Linked DNA regions of Cricetulus griseus. Each later gene encodes a partner of the first gene's protein in a complex. Links are inferred from orthologs where the notes say so. Each region holds a gene or a part of one and is shown in the gene's direction. Other genes may lie near its edges.

Region 1 (4,164 bases):
AATCAGATTTTTAGAAGCAGGAAGACTGGTGGCATGTTCTTGTAGCTGCCCAGGTAAGAAGGACAAAGGACAAGAAAACAGCAAACTGTGATTTTGTTGCTTGCCCTCACTCTCACCGGCAACTTCATTCATTTTCTTGTTCCCTCATTCCTTTGCCAGTACTGGAACTGAATTTCTTTGGGATTCTTACATAGATTGAAGACCAGCAGCTTTCCAGAAATCCTCCAGGCCTCCAGTGCCAGATGAGAGCTTCTGAGATGTCCAGCCTCTTGTACTGAGCAACTACAGGGTTCTCAGCCTTCCATGCATGAGACAGCCAGTGTTGGGATATTTGGACTGGATCCTTGGAGACACTCTAGTAAACCATACATGCATACATATTCATTCTATCAGTTTTGTTCCTTTAATGACCCCAATATACTTTCAGTGAGATTATAATTCTATGGGTATATGAAGAAATAAAGAGCCCTTACCTTTTAGCGCTGCATACAGGACTAAAGATGAAATGATGCTGAGCATGTAACTGTTGAAGTTGGCGGTGAGTAGACTGCACTTCACTTTTATGCCTGCAATTCCCCACATATTTAAAGAAAGAAACTGGGAGGATCTTGTTTGTGAAGCAGAGCTGTTTTACCAGAACATTCTTATCTTTTAGATTGCAGTGTGCACCCTTAAGACTCCCAAGAACTTGGACATTTGTTAACAATTCTTGTGGAAAAAAACAAATACTGAAAACAAAACCTTAAACCGAAAGTTTTCTTGCTGGGACTGATAGCGAATTTCTGAACTCTCCTGAGGGCTGGGCTACACAGTGAAATTGCTCCCTCCCTCCGTTAAAAAAAAAAATTACACCAAACTAATTTTTTTCACTTGTCAATTTGTGTAAGAATTGTAATAGACGTCTTTGAATTCCTAAATGAAAATAAAAGTGGAGGGGGAAACTGGATGTTTAGGATTTTATTCTTAATCATGTTCAGAAGTATACCATATATTTGCAAATATTTATATACACTTATGTATATCACGGAGTATAATCTTATATTAAAAACATTTTTGATGGTGAGGTTAACATTGATAGAATATTTTAATATATTGCTTATCCGTATTTTCTGATTTTTAAATAAGGCAAGTGGATTCGTTTTTAATTCCAAGAGTCTCATTTAAAAGTGGAGGTGGCGAGGAATAGAATTATTAGATAGTATTTTCTTTTACTGACAAAATGAACGAAGAAGAGGTACTCTCCAGACTCGACCTAGGTTACTCAGGGGCGCGGCGGGAGGGGGGAGGGGAAGGAGGAGATGCCTGAGACAACCCCAGGAGAAGCGGGAGATGCAGAAGTGCGCACGCGCAATACCTTCAGGGCGGGAGTAAAACCTGTTCTAGGACAGCCTTGGTAGCCAATTAAAGACCAGCGTCAGAGGCTTCTTCCTGAGAAGGCAACCGGAACTTGTGCTTCTGCTGCGCTGAGGAAAAGTCGCTACCGGAAAAGCAAGCGCTGAGGTGAGTCCGCGGCTGCGGTTGGCAACCGCAGCCTGATCCTCTTTCTCCGCCCCCGTGGCTGCTTCTCTCCGGGCGTGGAGCGCCGCCGGGCCGGCGCGGGGCATCCTGGGAAGCCCGGGCTCGCCTTTCCCCCCACGTCGCTCAGCGGAGCTTGCCGGAGGCCGAAGGTGAGCCGAGTGCTCCCTCTCCGGGCTTCCCACGTGCGAGACGAGCCGGACTGGAGGTTGGGAGGCCCGAGTTCTTGTCCCCACTTCGACGACTTTTAAACTATCGTGGCCTTAGCCAAGACTGTCCCCCGTCGCCATTGGTAAAATGAGAAGAGCCACCTGGGAGCGCTGGGGCTGGGGCGGGGGCCCACGAGCGGATCTGGATTCCCCATTTACCAGACTTTCAAGGGGTCCCAGTTTACAGGGCACAAAGTGAAGCAGGTCTCTGAGCTTGCGACGCTTTCCCTGCAAAAGCAAACACTACTAAGTGTGAGTTTTGCTAGTGTTACAAAATTACGACCTCCAGCGGCTTTGAAAAGTTCTGTTTAAACCGGTGATGGGCGGATCCTGTCCTGGGGCAGGCTGTTCCGCGGGAAGCCTCGCTACTTAGTGGAGTTCGGGGATTTGTACTTGGGAGCGGAAACAAACAAAAAACCCAGAGTGAGAAGTCCCGTTGTACCGTTTGCCAGTCTTTTGATCTAATGCTCCACGTTGGGAATTGGCTTCTTGTTTCTAAAATCGAATTGGGAATAGTTGTGTCGTTGTGAAGAAGAAATGACGGTGTAAATAGCCGGTGCCAGTCACTTACTGGAAGCCTTTGGGAAACTGCGGGTTTAGTGTGGGCGTGGGGAAGGGAAGCACAGAACCTCAATTTCAAAAGCCCTCAGTGGGTGAAATTAGGCTGTGGTTGCAGGAGAACATTCGTGTTTTAGGTATATACTGAAGTACTTAGGGGAAAAGGTGTCAGGGTGGGTGGGTGGGTGGGTGAGGTGCCCAAACAGTTGGAAAGCTGAAGACTTTGAAGTGGCTGCCCTCAGATTTAACATATTCCAAGGAACTGGTACTGAACCGGTATGTTACTTGCCCCAGTTGATGTTGGTAGATGGATGGTGCGTCTTGAAACTCAGATCAAGTGTGAAAAAGCACTCAGGAGTCTCCTCACTGGATGTACACTTATCAATGGATAATACACTATATAATTCAAATTGGAATAGGAGAGGTTATTTTGACCATGTGTGTTGCAGTTTTTTTTATTATTTGGAAATATATAAAATGCTAATGTGTTAATAAGACCGTACTCTTTGGTTTTTCGGGACAGGGTTTCTCTGTGTAGCTTTGGAGCCTATCCTGGCACTCGCTCTGGAGACCAGGCTGGCCTTGAACTCACAGAGATCCGCCTGCCTTTGCCTCCCGAGTGCTGGGATTAAAGGCGTCTGCCACCAACGCCCGGCCCTCTCAAGATGGGGCTTCCTTCACAAAGCCTGGATAATAATAGAAGTTTGAAATTTAACAATGCTTTTTTTGTTGTTTTTGTCAAAATGTTTAGAGTCTTTAAGTGTTTGGTTTTGGAAACCAGTACATAATAGAAAGCAAAAGTGATTGTGATATGAGATTGATAAACACCATAGGTAGTTTCACTGTGGGAAAGAGTAGTAAAAAGGCACGTGATATTTGTGTGTATAAGTGTTCTTTTTTCCAGTGTGGGTTCCAACATAGGCCTATCCACCCCCCCAAAAAAAACCCAAAAAACAAAAAAACAAAAACAAAAATCAGACATGACAAATAATATATCATGTGCCATACAAAATCATCCCAGACATGGACCCTTTTCTCTTAGTTTTTAGAATATGTATTTTGTTCTTTGAGAATTTTATACACAATGTGTTTTGATCATGCCCTCTCCTTCCCCTCTAATACCATGCAGACCATCACCATATCTCACTCCCAACTTCATATACTTTAAAAATAGTTTTTAAAGGTATTTTTAGCACAGGCTGACTCAAAAATCAATGTGTAGCCCAAACTGGCCTTGAACTCATAGCTGTCTTGGCTTCTATAGTGTGAACCACCACATCTATGACAGTTGAGGTCCTTTTTCAAAATAACAACAAAAAAAAATGTTTAAAAAGAACAGTAAGTAAAGTTATCTGCCAAACCTTTAGTGGACTTGACTGGCTGCTTCCCACTTCCTATGCTTCCATTTGTCAGCTTACATAGAACACATGAGTCCTTAACCCTAGCGTCCCTCTTTCCTCACCAAGCAGAACAGGTGTCCTTACTTCATAGTCACATGAAGTCTGGCAGACAAAAGTGTCCTTTAGCAGGTGACAGGGACTTTAAGGGATTCAAATAATTGTAAGATTTCCAAGTGACACTGCTTCATGTTCTCAGAATTTCCTTCATAGAGTCTGCATACCTCGACTTGGGTGTATATTTAGATGCTAGAGATTGTTTCATGGCTCTCATCACAGTTATCTTCATTGCACGAAGCCATAGCTTTGCTTTATTTTTCTTTTCCTTTGCCAGGGTCACCTGTTCCTTTAGGGTGAAATTAGCACACCTTGTGTCTTGACTGGCCAACAAGTTCTCAATTTTCAAGGCATACTTACCAGCAGGAAGCTTAAAGATAATATGGTCTGAATTCACAGTGTACTTCTGAACATTGAAGTTGATGTTG
Region 2 (3,500 bases), on another chromosome or scaffold:
ATGTGCCCTCAGCACCGGCCCCTGGTTTTTGGCCTCAGCTGTATCCTTCAGGTAGGTACTAGAGGGCCCAAGAAAGTGTAAAGAACTGACTGCTCATCCTGGAGAATGGGGTGAGTCCAACTCAGAGGTGGGAGCAGGCACTGAGCAACCCATTTAAGAATTGTGTTTCTCTGTAATAGGATGCTCCCATTCAGAAGTTTCGGACATCCTCTCCCAAGACTTAAGTATTAGGCCCAAAGCTTCTTAGGAAAGTGCCTGAGAATCTGGGTATGGTAGTGTATGCGTGTAGTCCTAGAACTTGGAAAGAAGATGCAGGAGGACTGTGAGTTCAAAGTCAGCTTAAGCTATATAGCCAGATGAAACCTTGTCTGAAAATACTATAAAAATGATAATAAAAGAAGGTGAGGTAGAGGCGGATCAAGAATGATACTTGCCCCAAGGACTCAGTCATAGTAAACCTAAATCAGATGCAAAACCTAAAGGAGGTGGGCCTTAAGTGGGGGATTCTAGAAAGGTAGCCATGATAATTGGGTTTGATTCATCTATTTGTCTGGCAGACTATCCTCCTGTGTTGTCCTAGTGCCCTAGTTTGGCACTACTCATTGACTGATAGCCGAATTAAAACTGGTTCACCACTTGACCACCTGCCCATTGCTCCTTCCAATTTGCCCATGCCAGAGGGTAACAGTGCCTTCACTCAGCAGGTAAGCTTAAATACTACCCTGGTACTTTGAAGTTGAGATGTAATGCTAGATTCTTTTTCTAGAAATAGTGACTTGGAGTCTGCTACTGTTTTCTGCTTTTGTTTGTTTTTTGAGACAGAATCTTGCTAAGTAGCCTTCACTGACCCGAAAGTTGCTGTGTAGACCAGGCAGGTCTCAAACTTAATAGTGATCCTTCTGCCTCTGCCTCCCAACTGCTAGATTACAGGCAGGCATATACTACCACGCCCAGCTTTCGGCTACTCTTCTTTTAGCTTTTCATTTATTTGGGTGTTTCCTTAAAGCTTTTTAAAAAATATTGCAGGTCCGAGCAAAATTGCGAGAGATTGAACAGCAGATCAAGGAGCGAGGACAAGCAGTTGAGGTTCGCTGGTCTTTTGATAAGTGCCAGGAAGCTACTGCGGGTAGGTGTCAGAGGGAGGGAACTAAGAAAGGATGGGTGATGGATTCATAGATATCTGAGAATCTGAATGCATTGACTCTCTAGTTAATTCTAGTTAATACTGTTTGTCCTCAGGTTTCACCATTGGACGGGTGCTCCATACTTTAGAAGTGCTGGACAGCCATAGTTTTGAGCGCTCTGACTTTAGTAATTCCCTTGACTCCCTTTGTAATCGAATCTTTGGATTGGGGCCTAGTAAGGATGGTCATGAGGTGAGTAAGAAGAAAAACAGAAAGAGCAAAAACATTACAGGAGAAGCGGTCTGTATAAGGGTAAGGTTAGTAACTCATTGAAAGCAGCAGATTCCTGAAGTGATGATTTTCCTGGTTCCTGGGGCTATGATATTTTTAGGTGGGGCCTATACTTGAAAAAGGAACTCGTTTCTTTTGTTCCTAGCCTTCCCTTACTTATCCTTGTCAAATCCTTTGGTTACAGATTTCCTCAGATGATGATGCTGTGGTATCATTATTATGTGAATGGGCTGTTAGCTGCAAGCGTTCTGGTCGGCATCGTGCTATGGTAGTAGCCAAGCTTCTGGAGAAGAGACAAGCCGAGATTGAGGCTGAGGTTAGAGGCTAAGAAAAGGGAGTGAGTTGCCCAATGGAAAGACTCTAACTGGGTTTGGACATATTGAGGTAGTAGTGGGAATGGGACTGGACCCGAGGGATTGGAAAGAAACCATAGAGAGCTCTTGTCTTGGCACATACCTGAAATTCCAGCACTTGAAAGGCATATACAGGAAGATCATGGTTACAAAGCAACCAGGACTAGCTAGAGAGACTGTCTCAAAAGTTAAAAAAAAAAAAGCCAAGCGTGGTAGTATATACCTTTAATCCCAGTACCTCAGATCTCTGAGTGCAAGGCCAGCCTGGTCTACCTTTCGCATTCTAGAACAGCTAGGGCCACATAGAAAGATTCTGTCTCAAAAAAAAAGTTTTACAAAAATGCTGGGCATTGTGGTGCATGACTTTAATCCAAGCACTCACTTAGGAGGCAAAGGCAGGCTGATCTCTATGAGTTTGAGACTAACCTGGTCTACATAGTGACTTCCAGACCAGCCAGAGCTGCCTAGGGAGACCTTGCCTCACAAAATCAAATAAACAAAATATACAAAACCAAACAAAGAAAGAAAAGAAAAGTGGTAGAGAACTTATAGGGATTGTTAAGGACATAGGCACAAATGGAAAAGAGCTGATGGATTAATTGGCTAGAGAAGAGACCAAGGCTGTAGTTGAGAAGTGGCAAAGGAAATGAAAAGTGTGGGATGGAAGACAGGTGACACTTCGAAGGTTACATATTGAAGAGTGAAGAAACAGGGAGAAGTCACCGCTCAGTTTGTTCTCTCGTCTTGCAGCGTTGTGGAGAATCCGAAGCAGCTGATGAGAAGGGCTCAGTCGCCTCTGGTTCGCTTTCTGCTCCTAGTGCACCCATTTTCCAGGATGTCCTCCTGCAGTTTCTGGATACACAGGCTCCCATGCTGAGTATGGACACCTATAATCTTCCAGTTCCTTTGCCTACATTCAATTATAAATCATGTCATCAGAAAACATAAAGAAGGACCTTCTGGCCTCTGGGTGGTGGTGACACCACCTTGAATCTCAGAAGAGGCAGAGGCAGGTGGATTTCTGAGTTCAAGGCCAGCCTGATCTACAGAGCAAGTTTCAGGACAGTCAGGGCTACACAGAGAAAACCTGTCTGAAAAATAGACCAAAACAAAAGCTGGACAGTGGTGCACACCTTCAACCCCTCAGGTGACACAGGCAAGCGGATCTTGAGTTTGAGGCCAGCCTTCTGTACAGAACTAGTTCCAGAACAGCCAAGGCTACACAAAGAAACCTTGTCTCAAAAAAAAAAAATCAGGAAGAAAAAAAAGAAAAGAAAGAAAGAGCTGAAAGAGGAGGGGAAAGAAAGAAAAAGAACGAGGGAAAGAAAGAAGAAAGTGAGAAAGAGAAAGAAAGAAAGAAAAAAAAAGAAAGGAAAGAAGGCCCTTCTGGTCTACATTTCTGTCTTGGGTTCTGTGCAGAATTACTTTTAGGCGTAGTTCTTGATGGTCTCACAATTTTAATAGAATAGAGAAAAGCAAAGAATAAACACAAGAACATTTGAGCAAAGCATTTCCAGTATATACACAGGAGCAAAGATACTTTGTTCATTCCACGGTGGTGGTGGACAGCATTAAGCGGTGCAGCCAACCATCCTTTTTAAAATATTTGTGTATGTGAATTTTTCCTACATTTATGTTTGTGCCCCATGTGCATGTCTGGTACTTGCAGAGGCTGGTGGAGGGCTTCGGATGCCCTGGAACTGGAGTTTATAGACAATTGTGAGCTGCCATG
Region 3 (4,042 bases), on another chromosome or scaffold:
CCCCGATCCCGGCTAACCCTCAGAAGTATAACAAATTCAAAATTAACAGGGGTCGCCCAGCTCTCAGGAGCACATGTGGTTCCCATTACCTGTTTCCCTTCCGTTTCCAGTCTGGATCTTTAAGGTAACCTCGGAGCCCGCCGCCCGCCCGCCCGCCCTCCTCCCGTCATCTGCAGCGGAGCTCCGGGTCACCCAAAGACGGGGGGTCGGGAGCCCGACACTTAACATCTCGCTTCTCTTGGTGTGGCCTAAAACTCCAGGTGGTTCTGACGCTTGCTTTCCTGCTCGGTGGGGCGTTCCTGTTTTCCAGCACCTGAGATGCAAAGCCAACAGGAAGGGGCGGATGCCGGGCTGCAGCCCCGCCACCTCGGGCACGGCGGTCCCTCCGGCCGGCGACGCGAGCGGCGCTTCCTCCTGAGCGGGTCGCGCAGGCCCTGTCGGAGGCGGCGGTGCCCTTAGGTCCCCTCTGCGCGGGTCATACGGGGACACGCACTGCCCCGCAGACCCGCGCCTCCGGTTTCCACCGCGGCGGCGGCTGCGCAGAACTCTCCCGAGGTCCTCGCGGCGCGGGTCTCCTTGGCGTCGCTCCTGAGCCGGGTCCCAGCCCCCGGCTGCGGCCCTTCATCCGAGGGGAGGGTCCTCCTTCTCCGCACCCCCGAGGCAGCCCGGAGGAAGAGTCCAAGCTCCAAGACCCAGCGGGTGCGCTTCCGTTAGGAAGCTCCGCCCACCGGTTTTTCGGAGTGGGCGTGGCCTTTAGACAGCGTCCGTTGCCCCGCCCAACTGCCTCCCAACGGCTCTCTGGAACGGGCCATGGGGCGTGGCGACGCGACCTGATAAACGCGCGTGCGCGCGCATGCGCAGAGGCAACAGAAGCGGCTCACGAGCCGGCCCCTCCCAGAGCCAGAGTCTCCGCCCGCCCCCATCTCCCAACCTCCTCAGCGTGGCGCCGACGCTGCGTGCGGCGCGGGTTACCCAGAGTGCTCAGCGCGGGGGCAGCTCACTGGAGTTTGGTTCTCGAGGCGGCGGCGGCGACGGCGGCGGCGGCGGCTTCTCCGTCGGCTCCTCCTCCCCCCCTGCTCGCAGCAGCGGCGGCGGCCCGGGGCCCGAGCTCCGGTCCCCTCCGCTTCCCTCCGTCTTCCGCCATCTCCCCGAGCGCCCCGACCTCCTCCGGCGCCGCGGGGAACATGCGGCTCCGTTCCCGGAGGCTGGCGAGCGACTGACCCGCGTCCCCCCGCCCCAGCCCGCCCGCCCGCCGGCCCGGCCGCTCCCCCCCGCTTCGCCCAGGCAATGACAGCGGCTCCGGCGTCTCCGCAGCAGATGAGGGACCGGCTGCTGCAGGCCATCGACTCCCAGAGTAACGTAAGTGACTGCTTGGAGAACGGGGACCGAGGCCGCATGTGCCGGGACCCTCCCCCTCCGACGCGCCCCCGGCCTGGGGGCCTCTCCCGGCGGCGCCCTGCCCGCCACAGCCGTTGCCATCTCGGCCTCTCGTTCTCCCGGGTCCAGGGGCCGCGGGCAAGGCGGGCAGCCCGGCGACTCAGGGTACCTGAGGCCGAGGCTTCACGCGGCCTGGACTGAGGGATCGCTCGGAGCCGAAATCAGACCTGGTTCTCCTCGGTTGCCTCGGCCAGATTGTCCTTGGTGCTTTCCACCTTGCCTCCCTGTCTCTCTTCGACCCCGGGACTTGAGACCCCCCGGAAGGGTCTCCCTACGGGGGTCAAGGTGGGAAGCAACTAGTGTCCCCCGATGACTCTGGTAGCCCGCGTCTCCCTTCGGTCTTCTGGCTGAAATCGTCTTCTTGGGCTCGGAGAGAACCCTAGGCCCTCCTTGTCCCTAGTCTTGCTGCTTGGGATCCCTGGAGAGTTTCCCTTCTTTTCTGATACTGGACAGACCCCAGTTTAATCCCTCCAAGGGTCGCTACCTAGGAAAGACGACCCTGCAGAAGGTGGGATCCTTCCTGTCACCTTTCTTGGCCTAAATGTCCCATTGTGTGTCTGACAAGCCTGGGGTTTTGGTACTGAATTCCTGCTCATCACAGTCGATTGTTCTCTCGCCCCTATTCTGGTCTTCTTTCCATCTCTCTTGCCCCACCTGAGGGACTCGGCCTGGTGTTTGGTCTCTAGGCTGTCAAGAGTTAACTGTATGGGGTCACTTTATGTCACATTTCCCTCTGCTAAGCGTCCTATGAGCAGAGGGACACCCTTTCTTCCTGTGTGAGCATAGGCTAATCTCACCTGTTGTGTTTTTTCCAAAGGTTTGTTGGCAGTGTAGGGAGGGGGTGAGGGTCTTTGTTCCTGGAAGCAGCAGGGCCATGAGAAGATGCACAAGCATCCAGGTATGAAGTGTTTGCTGGGAGACCAGGAAGTGGCCTTTGAGATCACTTTTTAATATGCTCAGGATGGAAAGAAAAATCATCTTGGGCTTGGCCAGGTAACTGAGGTTTGAGCAGGGAGCTCTTTTGGTTCCCTTACTTGTGCTTGGCTTGTTACTCTTAGTAATGTGCCATATTCTGGTGTGTTCCAAGAAATTCACATTAGTTGTGCAGTCTTGGTAGAAATGGAGGTTTCCTGATCTCTGGAAGAATCTGCTTGCCAGATTCAAAGTAAATCTCTTCTTCCTGATCTTGAGGCCCTATTAAGATCACCTTGATACTGATTTAGCCAATATTTTAGACATTTTTGGTGGGTGGAGTAAGGACAGGCTAGATAAAATCTTCTAAAAAGTCTTTTTTTTTTAAATGTTTTTTAAAACAGTGACTGATATTACTGCAATTACATGATTGAGATATTAAAAGATACAAACAAGTGATGTGAAAAATGTAACCTCAGTGGCTTTTGCATGTTTTCTGAAGCTACAATGTACACAGTGGATTTTTTTTTTTTTTTTTTTTTTTTTTTTTTTTTTTGAGACACGGTTTCTCTACCTGTAGACCAGGCTGGCCTCAAACTCACAGAGATCCACCTGCCTCTGCCTCCCAAGTGCTGGGATTAAAGTTGTGCGACACCACTGCCAGCATCCACAGTGTAATTCTTAAGTCCTGTATGTTGACTCGTGAGAAATCACCAGGGATCCTGACTGCTGCCTGTGAGAGTGCTGGGATCAGCTAGTGCTTTGATAGGCAGTAATGATGCTTCGCTTCAGGTGGGGCAGCCTTGCGGGTAAGGCTCTGACTAAAGGATTCTTTTGGGGGTAAAAGAAGGAAGATAGAGGACTCAAATTTTAGTGTGTGAGTGTGTGTGTGTGTGTGTGTGTGTGTGTGTGTGTGTGTGTGTGTGTATTAAGACAGAGCCTCTGGAACATACTATGTCCTTTGCCTTCCGAGTATTGGGATTAAAGGCGTGGGCCACAGTGCCTGGTCCCCAAACCTTTGCTTTTTGAATCTTACCTTGGGCCTAAGTGTTAATATACTCCTTCACCTGTGGGTAAGTTACTTGGAGTGGAGTGTGTATCTCAAAGGGCTATAGGGATAAGTGACCTCATTGTGATGGCTAGAGTTGAGAACTTGTCTCTTAATGAGGAGGGAAGTTTTTCTCTAAATGCAGTGTATCAGTAACTATTCATGAACACTGTCATGTGCTGGCTTTGCAGGACCTCTTTGTAGAACTCAGCCTGGAGGACTGTCCTTGATTTCTTCCAGAGGCATTGAAGGGTACTTTTTCTGGATTGTTCAGGGCCCAAGTAAGAGCTGTGTGCTGGCACAGGGCTCTGCTCTGCCCAGTTATGAGCTCTACCACTTGGTAATTGACACATATTTAAGATGTTCATGGAAAAAAATACAAAATGGGGACACAGTTGAAGAGCTTACACTAAAATTAACCCTCTTGAGAGAAAGTGACAGAGATTGGTGTCATGTAATGCTTACCTTTATGAGTGCAATCATAGCTAACAAATTTAGCTGTTGCTTGGAAAGTCAGTGCCAGGCAGCTGACCTACTGTCCACAGTCTCTGAAATTGGGAGCAGCTCCTTGACCAAGGAGGTCTCTAGAGGAAGGCCAGCTCTGCTGTGTGTTCTAGCTTCTGAGCAGCAAGCACTGTCCTTTCT
Region 4 (2,702 bases), on another chromosome or scaffold:
CTATTTTCTCAACTCAGGTGCTATCTCCTCAGAAGAAATCATTAAATATGCACATAGGATTAGTGCAAGCAATGCTGTGTGTGCACCACTGACTTGGGTTCCAGGTAACATTGCTTCTTATGTCAGATTAAAACTATTTAAATGTAGAATGTACTTCTCTAAAACAACATCTCTAGGCATTTTTTTTCAGTGTCCTAGTAATGCCCTCTGTGGCATCTCTCAAGAGGATGTATCATTGTTGATGTTTCTTACTAGGAAATAGAATTAAGTTGGAAGAATTGAGATTGCTATAATTCGCCTACCTCTGCCTCCTGAGAGCTGGGATTAATGGACCATGCCCAGCTTGAGAATTTTCAATGCAGCCAGGCTAGGTGTGGTACTGTAAAGGCAACACCTGGAGAGGCCGAGGCTGGATTGCAAGTTTGAGGCCAGCATAGGCTACATAGTGAAAACCCTGTCTCACAAAGAGCTTGAGGCTTTCAGTGTGCACCAAGGAAAGTTAATACTTCAAAGAACTTATCTTTTGTTTTTTTAAACTTGAGTTAAAAAGCTGCCTTCATTGTTGTTTTAGGAGACCCTCGGAGGCCGTACCCAACTGATTTAGAGATGAGAAGTGGATTGCTGGGTCAGATGAACAACCCTTCCACGAGTGGTGTGAATGGCCATCTCCCAGGGGATGCCCTTGCAGCAGGTAGACTGCCAGGTAATGCTGACAGGAAGGGTGTTTTCAAGCAGACCAAGGGTTTTCAGAGGTGCCAGCGAGGCGTTGTCTAACATCGAACTCTTGAGATCCCAGGCCCAGCCTTATTCATCTACTTGTTTGTCCAGGGTCCCTGCCAGTTTGTTATTCTGTGCTTGCTTTAGCCAAAGACCCTGCAGTGGCATTGCATGACATGAGCCTAAGCTGTCCCCATGTGCATCTCCTGCCACCCTCCCCCCAGCACAGGAGCTTTCCTTGATGACAACGAAGAACATTTTCCATCATGAGGCGTGCTCCCCAGATAGACTAAGCATTTTTGTAGGTGCCATGTTGTAATGTAAAAGGATCTTTCTAAAGAGAAAGGACATGAGTGGGGGCTATGCTTTCTGAAGCCCATTTTTAGCTTTAGCTATCTCTTCTGTACTAAAGTGTGGATTTGGGAACTCTGTGCTTATTAATTCCCAGACATTCCTTGTCTTTCTCATTGCAGTTATACTACACTGTTGGTTATAATCCTTTTAAGACAAACAACACCAGTAATTTGAGTAGGAAAGTTGAAAGGATTAATTAGTAACAGATATGGATGAATAGCTATTATGTATAGGACCATGGCACAGGACCCATGGCTGGGGTATAATGGACATAATTTGTTGTTTGTGTGTGTTTAGCATGGATGGGCCCCTATCTTGTTAGACCTCTGGTACTACAAGGTAGGCGGGTAGATAGAATTAAGTTACTTGCATAAAGGGAGGGTGATTGACAAGTAGATGGATTACAAGTAAACTGATCCCCATGCTTCTTTCCTCCAGATGTCCTTGCTCCACAGTACCCATGGCAGTCAAATGACATGTCTGTGAACATGCTACCACCAAATCACAGCAGTGACTTTCTGTTGGAGCCTCCTGGGCACAACAAGGAAAATGAAGATGATGTGGAGGTTATGTCAACAGACTCTTCAAGCAGCAGCAGCGACTCTGACTGAAGAAGGCGTGAGAGCACGCACAGACTAGTGCTGCAGAGCCCTGACAAGAGGGACATGTAAACCCCAGACCTCTAAGGAGCAGCCCACTGAAAACCATTTGGGGTTCTTTTCAATGCCCCCCCCCCCCATTTTGTCTCATCTGCTAGGCAAACGTGTGAGGATTAGTCAGCATTACTACTTTGGTTTGCACATAGCAGCTCTGGAAGTGAGGCTGCAGGAGAATGACACAACTCTCGGGAATGACTTGAAAGGGCACCAAGCCAGGCGTGGCGGCTCATACCTATAATCCCAGCACCAGGGAGACAGGGATTGCTGTGAGACCTTCATAGTAAGTTCTGAGCCATCAGGGCTACAGAGCAGTCCGGGCCAGCACAAAGGCAGCGGGGCTCTGAGTGTGGTATTTCAAAGTGAAAGTGCTCACCTGAGAGTCGGCTGCTGTTGCAGCGACAGAACTATCACTATTTATATGTGGTAAATACTGTAATTTGTATAAATAAACTTGCTTTTGTTTATTTTTTAATTTTCCTGTTGTCTGATTTATGTATGTATGTATGTATGTATGTATGTATTTTGGTACCCCTTCAGTATAAGAAGGAAATTTACTTAAATCCAGTTGCATCTAAGCTGGGCAGTGGTAGCACATGCTTTTAACTCTAACACTCAGGCAAAGGCAGGCAGATGTGAGTTGGAGGCCAGCCTGATCTACAAAGCCAGTTCCAGGACAGCCAAGGCTACACAGAGAAACCAGTCTTGAAAAACAAAAAAATTCAGTTGCATTTTATAATATTCAAGTAAGATTCTGTTATATATCAGAAAATACAAGATAAAATGACTATATCTTAACTAGTAATCACAATTAGGTTTCTGAGAACATTAATAATTGAAAACATTTATTACAATCCCATACCACACAGACACACAATTTCATGGAAGGTTTTAAAATAGAAGGGTTGGGGGAGAGCAACCAACCAACCTTTGGCCTTGTTGTCCTGCAAAGTTCTTGAGGACTCCAGAAGACCC
Region 5 (4,004 bases), on another chromosome or scaffold:
TTACTATGTAGTCCACGAGGGCCTTCTTCTGCCTCAGCTTCTCACCTGCTGGGATTACAGGCGAGCACCGCTGCTCATTGCTGGAATATGTTACTCTATTTAATATTCTCTGCCTTGGGGTAGACTTCCGGTGCTAAAAGCAAGGACGAGTACATTGTTTATTTCGGTATCAGAACTGCCTAAACTCTTTTTTATTGGGGGGGGGGGTTTCAAGACAGTGTTTCTCTGTGGATCGAACTCACAGAGATCAGCCTGCCTCTGCCTCCCGAGTGCTGGGACTAAATGTGTGTGCCACCACCGCCCGGCTTAGAACTGCCTGAACTCTTAACACAGTTCAAAGCATTGCACAGGAAACACAGTCATACTTCACAAGCCCAGAGAATAAATACTGGAACTTGGTGTGAGTGATTACTTCCTGTTGGAACTCTGAGGTAGGTTCCAGAAGGTACGCGTTGAAGTGAAGGACCACGCGGGAAGGAAAAACTGCCTCCTCTTTGTAATTCCAAACCCGTATCCGGATGGACTGAGCTAGTCCGGCCCATGCCACCACTCCAGCCCGTGTCACTCACCCAGCCGCGTGGCGCGTTCCCGTGGCTTTGCAGGCTGGTCTGCAGTCCCGTGTTCAGTCTCGAGCTCCTCCTGCTGTTGCCTGGCTTGCTGCAAAATGCGTCTGCTCAGCCGGGGTCCAACATACTCTTCCTCCTCTTCAACCCCGCGTCCCCGCCGCTTGTCTCGGGTCCCCGCGCGCACTGCATTCCCAGCCAGAATCTGCTCGGCCAGAGGTGCATGCTTCTCCTGATTCCGGGCCCCGCGGGCCACCTTCAATTTGGGCATTTTTCTCGAAAAACTTGCCGATGCTACTCACACGTGGGAAGCCGGTTTAAAACTAGGACTGTGTCTGCGCCCTGTGTTCCGGTGCTCGGGAGGTCACCGAGAGTTCACAGCGCCCCCCAGCGTTCGGAGGCCGGAAGTGCCTCATATACCGCCATCTCTCCAGGAGCTCCGGGGCGGGAGCTGGACTCCCCAGATTCTCAGGTAATCTCATTGTACGGAAGTGGGTGGATGTCCCAAGTCACCTTTTCCAGACAGAATTCATGAATGTAGCCTGAGAGGTCCTGTCAAAGCAAAGCGCGCCCTGGGGGCGGAGCCGGGCTGATGACGGAATTCGTTCATCGCTGGAGCGCCCGGGCACGCCTCCCTTCTGTGGGTGTACCGCTCTGGCGCTCAGATTTTGCGTATTTCCGGAGCCTGCATCCTGCTTTAGGCGGCTCTACCTCCAGGGGCCTCTGGATCCCTTGACTTCGAGTGTTTGGCAGTGCCACCCCTTTGACCCTGCGCCATGGGAGTGACTTGGTAGGACTGCAGGGGCTCTTGTGGGACGGAGCTTGGGGTCGTGAAGGCCCCAGGAGGGGGATCGGGACGGAAGCTCTCGGTTCCTCGCGGGCTGACAAAGATGTCCTCGGGTCGTGTTGCAGCAAGGGACGCCGTGTGGTGCTTCTTCCTTCCCAGGCGCATCCTTTTGGCAAAGCCAACTCTTCATTCCAGGAACCTGTCAGGAGTCGTACCTTCTTTTTCTTGGTACTTCTTCATGTCCGTCAGGCCATAGTATTGTCGCCAATAGGACCTAAAAGTTGGGAATAGGCTTTCGCACTAAGAATTATTTGCAGGCAGCGATAAAAAAGAGGGGGGCGCTCTAGGAGAAAGTGACTTTTACATTTTGCTTGCAGTAATAATAGCCTGGCTTTAATTTGGTCTAATGTCAGAGGGAGAGGAAAAGGAGCTGTTGGAGGTTTGGAGGTCGGGGTTCCAGGCACATTAACTATCCAAGAATCACTTCCTACATGTTTGAGTCAGGTTTGGGTTTTTTTTTGTTTTTTATCTGAAACGTGTTTTAAATCTCACTTGGAAAAAGAGAGGTGATTGGTAATGTCTGGACACCGTGCTTTTCTTCAGGGCATTAATTCCAAAGTACTAGGCTTCAGCACGTTAAAAAAAATCTTGGTAGTGGTGTGTGTCTTCCCAGCTGTTCTGTATAATGTGTGTGTGGGATGTTCTTCAGGAAACCCAGGCTCTTGCAGGGTTTTTAGTGACTACTATACGTGCAAATTAGTTGACACCAGGAGCCTTATCTCAACCTCATCACACCGTAAAAAGTACCTGTCAGCAGTGAAAATAGAAATCACAGCAGAGTCACTGGGCCCTATAAAACATTTCTGTATATGTTTTTATGGGCTGTCGATCACCTGCCTCTGACTCCTGCATCCTGGGATCACAGGAGTGCTCCACCAATGCCTGCCTGCCTAGGGTTCATTATACAGAGAAAAGGTTTCCCTTCCTACTAGTATCGGTTCAACTCTCTCAAAATCACAGAGTTTCTGTCACAGTGTCAGTTTAGTGACTCTTCTGTTTTATGTATTGCTCACTGGTCCTTGAAACGACTATTGTCTCTTTTTCTAGGCGTATACACTCGAGGGATGCGTTCTCTTTGTTCTTAGTGCCTTTAAATGGAACTCTGTGATAGTGGGAAAGTTCTGTCCACAATGTCCAGAATATTATCCACCAGCCTCCTGGGGCTCTATACCTGACAAAAGCAGCTTATGATAGGGTTTATTTTGGCTCACTAGTTGAGTTTAAATAGAATGAGGTGGCTGGTCACATTATGTCCATAGTCAAGAGGTAGGTAGGGGTGTGTGGGGGTGTGTGTGTTTGGGTGTGTGTGCGCGTGCGCGAGAGCACGTGTGGTGTCCTACTCAGCTGATTTATCCACACCTTAGTTAAATAAGAATCTCACAGACAGGGTCAGGAGTTTGTTTAAGAAATAGGTCTCAGCCAAGTATACCCCTATAATTCCAGCACCTGGGAGGCCGAGACAGAAGGATTGCTAAAAGAGTGAGATCAGCTCAGGCTAATTCAGTGAACTCCAGATCATCTTCGGCGGCATTGTAAGACCCTATCTCCAAGCTTCTAGGTCCTGTCATGTTGGCACGTAAACCATCAATCACATCCACTGTACAACTCAGTGACACTGAATGTGTGCAGTGTGTGCTACCTAGAATCAACACTTAATGTTGGTATTTGTACCTTACTTGGGAATGCTGATGTGGTAGAAAGTTCCATGTCCCTGTGTGAGACACTTGAGACCTGTGTTCTGCCTGTTAAAGGAACTCTTGGACTGTGGGCCTCTTCCTTTCTCAGTTTAAGGGGCAGGATCAGAGTTAGTGTTATCTAAAGTAACTCCTAGTCCTGTTGATCTGGTAACTATTTGGGAATGAGTGGCTCAGCCAGAGCATGTTTGTCTCTGGACACTGCTGACTGTTCTGTTTCTCAGTGTGTCCCAGATGCCTGTGGCTGAGGGCAAGAGTGTCCAGCAGACGGTGGAGCTCCTCACCAGGAAATTGGAGATGCTTGGGGCAGAGAAACAAGGAACATTTTGTGTGGACTGTGAGACTTACCACACAGCTGCCTCCACCCTGGGCAGCCAAGGTCAGTAGATGACTGCGAGCAGATGTTTGGACCCGGCTTGGAGTCCTACAATTATTCATAGTCATTGGCATCTATTTGTGGTGGTCAGATTGCAGTTTGAGCTACTTGTTTAATTAAAATTTTTTAATTGTGTGTGTGTGTGTGTGTGTGTGTGTGTGTGTGTGTGTGTGTGTGTGTGGATATGCGCACTAGTGCTCCTGTGTGTGGATATGTGCACCTGAGTTCAGGTGCCTTTAGAGGCCCGTGGTGTCAGATCCCCTGGAGTTAGCCTTACAGGTGGGTATGGGTACTGGGAACTGAACTTGGGTTCAAGGCCAGCCTGGGCTAGAGAGTGAGAACCTTTCTTGGGAAACAAAAATTGTCTAGCACAACCAGAAGTGCTTTCTTTATTAAAGAATAGTGTTGGGGCTGAGGTGATAGCTCATCAGTTGAGAGCACTGACTGTTCTTCTAGAGGACCAGGTTTGATTCTCAGTACCTACATGGCAGCTCACAACCTTTTAAACTCCAGTCTTAGGGGAA
Region 6 (4,276 bases), on another chromosome or scaffold:
TTCAGCTCTGATGGAGGTGTCTGGTCCTCTCTAGGACTCAGCTGATCTCCCCAGGGCACTTTGTCTTGTGTGTGTGTGTGTGTGTGTGTGTGTGTGTGTGTGTGTACATGCCATGGGCCTGGTGAACCTGGACAAGCTTCATCTCAAGGGCTGATTTTATGCTTTTTTGTGATGTGTGTTTCGTGTCCCCGACTCCCTGGGCTCTGCCTGCCCTTCAGATCCTCCTCCTGTTAACACTTATACCTGGGTCCAGGACTTCCAGCCAGAAGCCTCTGACCTTGTGTGTTGTCCTCCTCCCTGTCCCCTCTGCCACCCAGCATAGCTGTGGTCACTGCAGAGGCTCCATGGGCCCGCCTCCTCCCCTTTTGTGTGGTTCTTTGTGCTTGGGGGAAAGGGACACTTTTAATAAAGCCTTGGTGCTCAGGCCTTGACTGTTTGTGTCTTGGGGTTTGGTGGGGAAGTAACAGGTCACCGAGGGCTGGGGGCCGGAAATCTGGACACACAGGGCAAAGTGCAGTCTTGATTCTTTAGTTCATTTTAAAATGTGTAAAATACTTAAAGGTGGGATGCCAGGCTGTGGCTCAGTGGGTAGAGTGACTGATTTCGTAGCATGCTCAATTCCATTCCCAGCACCATATACCCTGAGTTTGAGTCTAACTTGGGCTACATGTCTTTTGGGACAGGGTTTCTCTGTGTAGCTCTGGCAGTTCTGGAACCTTCTCTATAGACCAGGCTGGCCTCAAACTCAAGAGATCTGCCTGCTTCACCCTCCCGAGTGCTGGCACTAAAGGTCCAACAACAGACCTCTGCGTCTCATGTAGCCCAGGCTAGCCTCAAACTCACAGTGTCAGATCCTGTCACACAAAAGTAAAAACAAAAATCCCAAATTTAAATAACAATAAATAACAGCTGAACTCATGACTTGATGGTGCACAGCTGTTCTGGAGGCTGAAAGAAGAATCTTAACCTCAACAGTGTGAGGCCAACCTGAACTACATAGCCCGTGTCTCAAAAAGCAAAGGGGAAAATTTAGTTAAGTCACTTACGTGGGGACTAATTTCGCCATCAGTGAATATGCGGAAGATAAGCTATACATAAACTAATTTCAGAAGAGAGATGTAGGAGTATGCTTTGGTGTTTCTGAGGGTGGGCAAAATATGGAACGCTTCACGAATTTGCGTGTCATCCTTGCGCAGGGGCCATGCTAATCTTCTCTGTATCGTTCCAATTTTAGTATATGTGCTGCCGAAGCGAGCACAAACAGCTGCTTTGTCCAGGCAGTATTTATAGGCTCTAAATTCAAGCCCTTTATCGTTAGGGTGAGTACAGTTTCCTTACGAAAGTTTTAGTACTTCTCTCCTGTCTTTTACAGAAGACCAAACCTATAATGTAAGATATAGCTAGTGATCAGAAATGACAGATTACTTGTCTTTTTTCGTACATACAGCTGCAATGGTTACTAGGAATTATTGTATGCAAATTAGCCGAGTAGAGGGTGGAGCCTGGGTTCTCCCAGAAGTCTGTGCGAGGGGCCGGCACGAGCGGAGAGATGGCGGCCCCGGATCCCGGGCGTTGGGGCGAATGTGGATCGCGGCAGCCCGGCCGACTGGGCGCTCGGAGCGGACAGGTCAGTGCCAGGATGCGGAACGCGTGACCGGCACAATCCGGGCGAGGACCACGAGCGGAAGGCCGAGGGGCGGAACTTGCGGGGTCAGAGGGCGGGCCGGGGAGCAAAGCTTCCTGGGTAGCGGACTGGGTGGAAGGGGCGTGGTCAGGACCGGTGCTTGAGGAGAAGCCTGAGGCGACTAGGCCGGGGAGGGGGCGTGGCCTGAGGATGGGACTGTCTGAGGGGGCGTGGCCTGAGGCAAAAGTTGAGCTGAGAGGCGGAGCCTGAGGAAATGAAGCTGCTAGAGAGGGGCGTGGCCTAGGGAGCAGAGTCTGAAAGAGTGGGGCGTGGCCTGAGGATCTGGGACTGATGGAGAAGGGGTCCTTGGCCTGATAACCCGTAAGAAGAGGGGCCTGAAGCTGGTAGTTGGCTTGGGGGCGGAGCCTAGGGCCTTAGAAGGTGTGTGTGGAGCTTAAAGCCCGTGGTGGGGCCTGGTTGAGGCACATGGGTATGTGTGTTAAGTCTCAGGATTTAGGTCTTGGGCGAAGCTTTGGGGGCGGGGCGTGGGACTGAACTTGGAGTGGGTGCGGCCTGTTTGTGGAGGGTGCTTAGTGCTTGGAGGCTGAGCTTAGGCTGAGGTCTGGGTGGGTGATTAGGTGGTATGGAGGGTGCTTTAGGCTCCAAGGGCTGGAGAACTCTCTAGAGCCACTTTAGCCAGGACCTCGCTGTTCCGCAGGAGCCAGGGACTGTGCTGGGTGCTGTGGGCATAATGGAACTGGTCTACGTGTGCGAGTGGGAGAACTGGGCCAAGAACACGTACTGCCCGTCGCTGCCCCTGGCCTGCGCCTGGTCCTGCAGGAACCTCATCGCCTTCACCACGGACCTCCGAAATGATGACCAGGGTGAGTGTCGGTCCATAGAGGTGGACTGTGCCGGGTTTGGATCCACCCTACCTCAGATTTCCAGACACAGTGTGTCCCGGTTTGAAAGGCTCATGGTGGCAGAGCCAGGCTCCCTGTTGCCAGGGAAAGCAGTCATATACCAGTCACTGTCCTCCGACTCTAATGTTGGTTATGGCTGCACTGGATAACCCTCCCCGGGGGATAAGTGGCATGGAGGGGCACTCAGGGAGAGGGGAAATGGGCGTGGGAATCCTGGGACACTGTGAGCCACACCGACCTCACCTGTTCTCCTTCCATCGCAGACCTGACACATATGATCCATATCCTAGACACCGAACATCCCTGGGAAGTGCACTCTGTCAACTCTGGCCACAGCGAGGCCATCACCTGCCTGGAATGGGACCAGTCAGGTGATGCCACGAAGTTCACTCTCATTCCAGAGCCCTGAGCAGCATGGGCTGCCTTCTTCAGTTCTCAGTCCTAAATCCAGAGTCACTGGGAGTCCAGAGTGTGGGGGCAGGGGGTGGCAGTCAACCTGCCCCTCAGGAGGGTTCCTGATGGCACTCTGTCACCACAGGCTCACGGCTCCTGTCAGCCGATGCTGACGGGCATATCAAATGTTGGAGCATGGCTGACCACTTGGCCAACAGCTGGGAGAGCTCAGTGGGAAGCCAGGTGGAGGGGGACTCCATCGTGGCGCTGTCCTGGCTGCACAACGGCGTGAAACTGGCCCTGCACGTGGAGAAGGTGAGGGGACTTACGTGTGGCGGAGTTGTGAGTGACCAACCTGTCTCTCCCTTGCCGCTGCCAGAATTCTCTGTCATGTGCCAGGCCTGTTTGCGTGGGATACCTGTCAGTAACTGCCATCCGTGAGCTCCTGTCCCCAAGAACATGCTTAACTACAGCTATTGTCCCCCTGAGCCTCCCCTTTCAGTGATGGGATGATGGTCCCTATAGAGTGACCCTGTTCCACAGGCAGCTGCATCCAATGGTGTCCTGTTTTACAGATGACTGCTATGTGGTCTTCAGACCCCACTCTACTGTGATTTAATGACGACCACAATTCCCCTATCCATGTGTATTCTGGAGTTCAACCAGTGAGGAGTGAGCACCAACAGACATCTGAGATGTCTGTTTCCTCGGAGGTAGATGCCTTTGAGGAAGGGGGCATGGCCAGGTCCTTGGGGACCAGCAGCTTCCACACACCTGCTGAGACCACGCCTACATGTGGCCACTCACCAGCTCCCACATCATGACATGGAGACCAATTAGTTATGAATGCTCTGCCTTAGCTTAGGCTTGTCCCACTAGCTTTTTTTGTTTGTTTGTTTTCTGGACAGGGTTTCTCTGTGGCTTTGGAGCCTATCCTGGAACTCGCTCTGTAGACCAGGCTGGTCTCCAACTCACAGAGATCTGCCTGCCTCTGCACCACACCACCACCACCATCTGGCTCCCACTAGCTTTTTTTTTTTTTTTAAGATTTTTATTTATTTATTATGCATACAACATTCTGCTTTCATGTATATCTGCACACCGGAAGAGGGCACCAGATCTCATAAGGGATGGTTGTGAGCCACCATGTGGTTGCTGGGAATTGAACTCAGGACCTCTGGAAGAGTAGTTGGTGCTCTTAACCTCTGAGCCATCTCTCCAGCCCTCCCACTAGCTCTTATAACTTATTTTAACCTGTTTCTCTTCATCTGTGTTTTGCCTCAGGGCTTTTTACATTTCTTTCATTCTGTATGTCCTACTTTTCTTGCTTCTCCTG
Region 7 (4,015 bases), on another chromosome or scaffold:
TTTATTTTATATTGGTGTTTTTGCCATGAATGTCAGGTTCCCTGGAATGGAGTTACAGACAGTTGTGAGCTGCCATGTGGTTGTTGGGAATTGAACCCCGGTCCTCTGGAAGAGCAGTCAGTGCTCTTAACCACTGAGCTATCTCTCCAGCCCCAAATTAGTTCTTATAATTTAAATGGACCTGCCCTCCCCCCAGGGTTTCTCTGTGTAACTTTGGAAGCTGTCCCGGAACTCGCTCTGTAGACCAGGAGGGCCTGGAACTCAGAGATCTCCTGCCTCTCCCTCCTGAGTGCTGAGATTAAAGGTGTGTGCCACCATGCAGGGCAACCCATGTTTTTTAATTTGCTTGCTTTTATGTAACTTGTTACCTTTACTTATCTTTACTTAGTTTTTTATTACACCAATCACAGCCATACATCTTCCCAGTGCGCATCACACAGTATCACTCTTCGCATGTAAAACTATCAAAGATCTCAATTCTAAATCTAAATTCTGAACCTGCCTAACTTGCTTATTTTCCTGGAACCTCTCTTCTGGCCCCAGGGCCCTTCCCTTTCCTCTGAAGCCTTCTCTTCCTCACAGCTACAGAGGACTGTGTAGTTAACTGTGCTGACTACACACCTCTTATCTCCAAATGCCCATCTCCAAATGCCTTTCACCTCCAAAGGTGAAAACCTTTGCCTGTCATTCCTCACCACGGCACAGTTTAACGCTTAGTTTCCCACGCTTCCCATTTCTGCTGTGTCAGTTTCCCCACTCAAGAATTAAAGCACGAATCTAGCCTACAGTTGGGCAAGCACCTCTTGGCCCAATCCAACAAGACACCTAACTAACTCTTGATTTCCTGGCGAATGATAATCTGCTGGGTTTAACCATTTGTGAAGGGTTCGCCGTGTGGTCCACCTGGAAAGCACAAGTGAAGGAAAACAAGTGTTCCAGATGACGCCCAAAACAGAACCCCGGAGCCACACGCAAGCAAAACACACCGCGGGCCCGCCAGGACCGCCTCAAACACGGCTACAGCCAGGACGGCAGGCGGCGACCGTCCCTGGAGCATCTCGGCGCCGCGGGCCTGGCTCCACCCCCGGCTCCGCCCTCCAGACCCGCCTCCCAGACCCGCCTCCCCGGATCCGCCCGCTCCGCCCGCCTCCCCGGCCCCGGTGAGCCGCGGGATAGCCCCGCCCTCCGCCGCAGCGTGCGTCCTTGGCCACGCCCCCTGGAAGGGAGCCCTGTGATTGGCCCAGAGCCGCCATAAATTACCCAATCGCCGCTGAGCGGGGAGCTTCGGCGTCGCTGCGTACGCGGGAACATGGCGGATCGCCTCACGCAGCTGCAGGACGCGGTGAACTCGGTGAGGCTCCCGCCTTAGTCGGCCTGTCCTTCCCGTTCTTCCCGTTCTTCCCGTCCTTCCCCTCCTTCCCGTCCTTCCCGGGGAGGAGAGGAGAGGAGAGGAGAGGAGGGCCGGGGAGAGGAGGGCAGGAGGGCCGGGGAGAGGAGGGCAGGAGGGCAGGAGGGCCGCGTCGAGCGGATGTTCACAAGGGCGATTTTTGTTTTGTGTTGAGAGAGTCTCCCGCGTACCCCCCTGGCTGACCTGGAAATCACTGTGGAGACCAGGTTGTCAGTTAAAACTAACAAAAAACAACTGGGGAGTCATAAAATCTAAACAACAGAAGCTCCTGAAAACTGCTGCCTTCCATAACCTTGTCCCTTCTGGCTGTTACTCTTTTTGGTTTTTGTTTGTTTGTTTTTTTGGGACAGGGTTTCTCTGTGTAGCTTTGGAGGTTGTCCTGGTACTCGCTCTGGAGACCAGGCTGGCCTCGAACTCACAGAGATCCTCCTGCCTCTGCCTCCGGTGTATTGGGATTAAAGGCGTGCCCCACTAACGCCCTGCCTCTGAGCCACATTTTTAATCCCATTAATCCCAGCCCTCTGGAGGCAGAAGCAGGCAAATCTGAGTTTGAGGCCAGCCCCAAAGTTAGTTCCAGGACAGCCAGAGCAGTGTAGAGAGAGACCCTGACTCCAAAAAATAAAATAAAAAATGTTTCTGCTTATTACCATTAAGAGCACAACACTTTTCCACTGGTAGTTAAAAATGTCCGTGTCATCCTGGTTGTAGTTTGTTCTAGGTAAAGTGCCTGTAGAGTGTCTGCCTACTGGAAAAAAACAAAACCCAGTCCCTGGCCTGTGTTTTTCTTACAGAAAGGTCATAACTTGGCTTCTTGGTAATACATCACTTTTAGAGATTGTGAATCTACTTGTGGGAAAACTGCCTACTCTGTAAATAAAGTAGTTTTTAAATTGAGGGGCTATCCCTAAATGTTGGTGAACTCACCAAGCTAAAATGTAAAGATTTCCCTGGGCTGCCAGCCATTCTCTCCCAAGAAAGTACTCCTTTGAGGTTTTAAAAATCTCTTAATGCAGTGTAGGAGCTTATCTCAGAATTTCGTCTTCGTGTAGGTCCTGTAGCTAGGGTGGTAAGGATGCTATATGGTCTTGACTCATGTTAGGAATACTGTTAATTTAGCTAACTTGGATGCCTACTGTGTCAATAGGCAATGTGTTTACAAAGAGCTACCCCTGGGGGAGCTTAGAAAGATGCCATGAACTCAAGAGACTTTCAGATGTGAAACCCCGTTCATGGCTAGGGAGTTAGAGTAAACTGCTTTCAGTTCTTCAGTGCTAAAGTAGATTGGAACATAGAGCAGTGTTAACATTTGTTCTACCATCTGGAAACATGTTCATCTCTATAATATTTATATATAGTACTTGCCATGGGGTTCATTTTTCAATAAATATGTTTTTGAACAGATGAACAATGGGTCTTGAAAGCATTTGCAGGACAGAATACATAACTACTGTTCTGAATAAGTTTCATTTGGGTTTTTCTTTGTCTTAAGACAGTGTTGCAAAATGGAATGCTGCAACTTAAAATAAAGTCACCCAGGTTAGCTTTTAATGACAGCTCAGATTTTTGTCATTGAAATAATGACAGCAAAATAATAGAAACAATAGAAATGCTGTTTCCTGATTGGAAGATTGGAAATAATAGTTGAGGTTCCAGGGATTAGTGAGAAGTTGGGTGATGGGTTATACATGTGTTTAGTTTGCAGATGGTGTGAACTTGTGTTTTCAAATTACTTGACTACATTGGTTTTTTTTTTAGTTCTGCCTTTTTTGAGAGAGTCTCTTATGTAACTATGGCTGGCCTCTGCCTCCCAAGTGCTAGGATGGAAGTTGTGCACTGCCGTGCCCCAACAACAAATACATTCTGAGCAGTAAGATTACAATTGGAGTCTTGTAGAATTACAGTTCTGATAACTTACAGTAAGAAATTTCTTCATGTAGTACAGACTGGCCTGGAACTTCCTGTGTAGTTGAGGGTGACCTTGAACTTGGGTTCTTGCCTCCTGATTACCAGAATTACATGTTTGCGATGTTACTCCTAGGTTTCTGTTTCAGTGCTGAGGGTCCACTTCGAGGCTTCACCATGCTAGGCTAGCAGTCTCCCAGCTGAGCTTATCCCCAATACGCCCACTATTTGTTTATATTTGGTAGCTGCTCTGCACAGACAAGAGATCATGTGCTTTGTACACCCCAATTTTGAACCTCAGGAAAGAACAGACAATCATTCTTGCAATTAGAATAGAATGTGTTATCTACCAGTTCGACTACTTTGGTATCTTAGGATTTGTTTATAGAGTTATGATTTGAAAGAGTCTTTTTTTTTTTTTTTTTTTTTTTTTTTTTTTTTTTATTTTAAGTATTCCTGTGTACCTCATGGGCGCCTGGGACCCATGGAGACCAGAAGAGGCTATCAAATCCCTTGGGATTAGAGTTACAGTTGTGAGCTGTGGATTCAAATCCCTTGGGATTAGAGTTATAGTTGGGAGCTGTGGATTCTGGGAGTTGAACCCAGATTCTCTGCAAAAGCAGCCAGTACTCTTAAGCATGACTCTTTCTGTATTGCAATTTCTGCATCTGCTAGGATGGATACCCATAAACATTCGAAGAGAGG

Evidence for each region.
Region 2: Med7 (region 1) and Med12 share a complex: the UniProt entries of both Homo sapiens proteins name them as parts of the mediator complex. The link is inferred for Cricetulus griseus from reciprocal best matches to the Homo sapiens genes MED7 and MED12.
Region 3: Med7 (region 1) and Med26 share a complex: the UniProt entries of both Homo sapiens proteins name them as parts of the mediator complex. The link is inferred for Cricetulus griseus from reciprocal best matches to the Homo sapiens genes MED7 and MED26.
Region 4: Med7 (region 1) and Med4 share a complex: the UniProt entries of both Homo sapiens proteins name them as parts of the mediator complex. The link is inferred for Cricetulus griseus from reciprocal best matches to the Homo sapiens genes MED7 and MED4.
Region 5: Med7 (region 1) and mediator of RNA polymerase II transcription subunit 20 share a complex: the UniProt entries of both Homo sapiens proteins name them as parts of the mediator complex. The link is inferred for Cricetulus griseus from reciprocal best matches to the Homo sapiens genes MED7 and MED20.
Region 6: Med7 (region 1) and Med16 share a complex: the UniProt entries of both Homo sapiens proteins name them as parts of the mediator complex. The link is inferred for Cricetulus griseus from reciprocal best matches to the Homo sapiens genes MED7 and MED16.
Region 7: the proteins of Med7 (region 1) and Med21 are in contact, whole or in part, in a cryo-EM structure (PDB 7EMF), measured with the Homo sapiens proteins. The link is inferred for Cricetulus griseus from reciprocal best matches to the Homo sapiens genes MED7 and MED21. Residues at the interface, in NP_001094286.1 of Homo sapiens: Phe72, Asp73, His74, Lys75, Leu78, Arg79, Asn82, Ile85, Leu86, Phe89, Leu92, Leu93, Leu96, Phe116, Val119, His120, Ile123, Asn124, Tyr126, Arg127, His129, Gln130, Arg132, Glu133, Leu135, Arg136, Met139, Glu140, Gln142, Lys143; in NP_004255.2 of Homo sapiens: Asp3, Leu5, Thr6, Leu8, Gln9, Val12, Asn13, Leu15, Ala16, Phe19, Ile23, Ile62, Ala66, Ile69, Asp70, Ile73, Asp74, Leu76, Pro77, Ser78, Glu79, Ser81, Ala83, Gln86, Ser89, Leu90, Leu93, Glu96, Asn97, His98.

What each region holds. Positions count from the first base shown.
Region 1 is NC_048600.1:60,988,498-60,992,661, forward strand, and holds the start of Med7 (mediator of RNA polymerase II transcription subunit 7), read left to right. Parts: upstream 1-1,364; 5' UTR 1,365-1,500; intron 1,501-1,530; exon of another isoform or gene 1,531-1,807; intron 1,808-4,013; exon of another isoform or gene 4,014-4,164. UniProt on the Homo sapiens protein: Component of the Mediator complex, a coactivator involved in the regulated transcription of nearly all RNA polymerase II-dependent genes.
Region 2 is NC_048604.1:68,973,016-68,976,515, reverse strand, and holds part of Med12 (mediator of RNA polymerase II transcription subunit 12), read left to right. Parts: coding exon 1-51; intron 52-557; coding exon 558-704; intron 705-1,026; coding exon 1,027-1,126; intron 1,127-1,239; coding exon 1,240-1,376; intron 1,377-1,599; coding exon 1,600-1,731; intron 1,732-2,518; coding exon 2,519-2,645; intron 2,646-3,500. UniProt on the Homo sapiens protein: Component of the Mediator complex, a coactivator involved in the regulated transcription of nearly all RNA polymerase II-dependent genes.
Region 3 is NW_023276806.1:247,288,613-247,292,654, reverse strand, and holds the start of Med26 (mediator of RNA polymerase II transcription subunit 26), read left to right. Parts: upstream 1-1,242; 5' UTR 1,243-1,287; coding exon 1,288-1,359; intron 1,360-4,042. UniProt on the Homo sapiens protein: Component of the Mediator complex, a coactivator involved in the regulated transcription of nearly all RNA polymerase II-dependent genes.
Region 4 is NW_023276807.1:228,022,090-228,024,791, forward strand, and holds the end of Med4 (mediator of RNA polymerase II transcription subunit 4), read left to right. Parts: intron 1-17; coding exon 18-104; intron 105-571; coding exon 572-703; intron 704-1,509; coding exon 1,510-1,682; 3' UTR 1,683-2,202; downstream 2,203-2,702. UniProt on the Homo sapiens protein: Component of the Mediator complex, a coactivator involved in the regulated transcription of nearly all RNA polymerase II-dependent genes.
Region 5 is NW_023276806.1:255,578,091-255,582,094, reverse strand, and holds the start of mediator of RNA polymerase II transcription subunit 20, read left to right. Parts: upstream 1-1,204; 5' UTR 1,205-1,339; coding exon 1,340-1,353; intron 1,354-3,328; coding exon 3,329-3,483; intron 3,484-4,004. Other genes in the region: bystin, read right to left, coding at 570-834. UniProt on the Homo sapiens protein: Component of the Mediator complex, a coactivator involved in the regulated transcription of nearly all RNA polymerase II-dependent genes.
Region 6 is NC_048598.1:100,704,718-100,708,993, reverse strand, and holds the start of Med16 (mediator of RNA polymerase II transcription subunit 16), read left to right. Parts: upstream 1-1,476; 5' UTR 1,477-1,549; coding exon 1,550-1,627; intron 1,628-1,859; exon of another isoform or gene 1,860-2,005; intron 2,006-2,342; coding exon 2,343-2,508; intron 2,509-2,810; coding exon 2,811-2,918; intron 2,919-3,085; coding exon 3,086-3,255; intron 3,256-4,276. UniProt on the Homo sapiens protein: Component of the Mediator complex, a coactivator involved in the regulated transcription of nearly all RNA polymerase II-dependent genes.
Region 7 is NC_048601.1:3,057,122-3,061,136, reverse strand, and holds the start of Med21 (mediator of RNA polymerase II transcription subunit 21), read left to right. Parts: upstream 1-1,215; 5' UTR 1,216-1,309; coding exon 1,310-1,351; intron 1,352-4,015. UniProt on the Homo sapiens protein: Component of the Mediator complex, a coactivator involved in the regulated transcription of nearly all RNA polymerase II-dependent genes.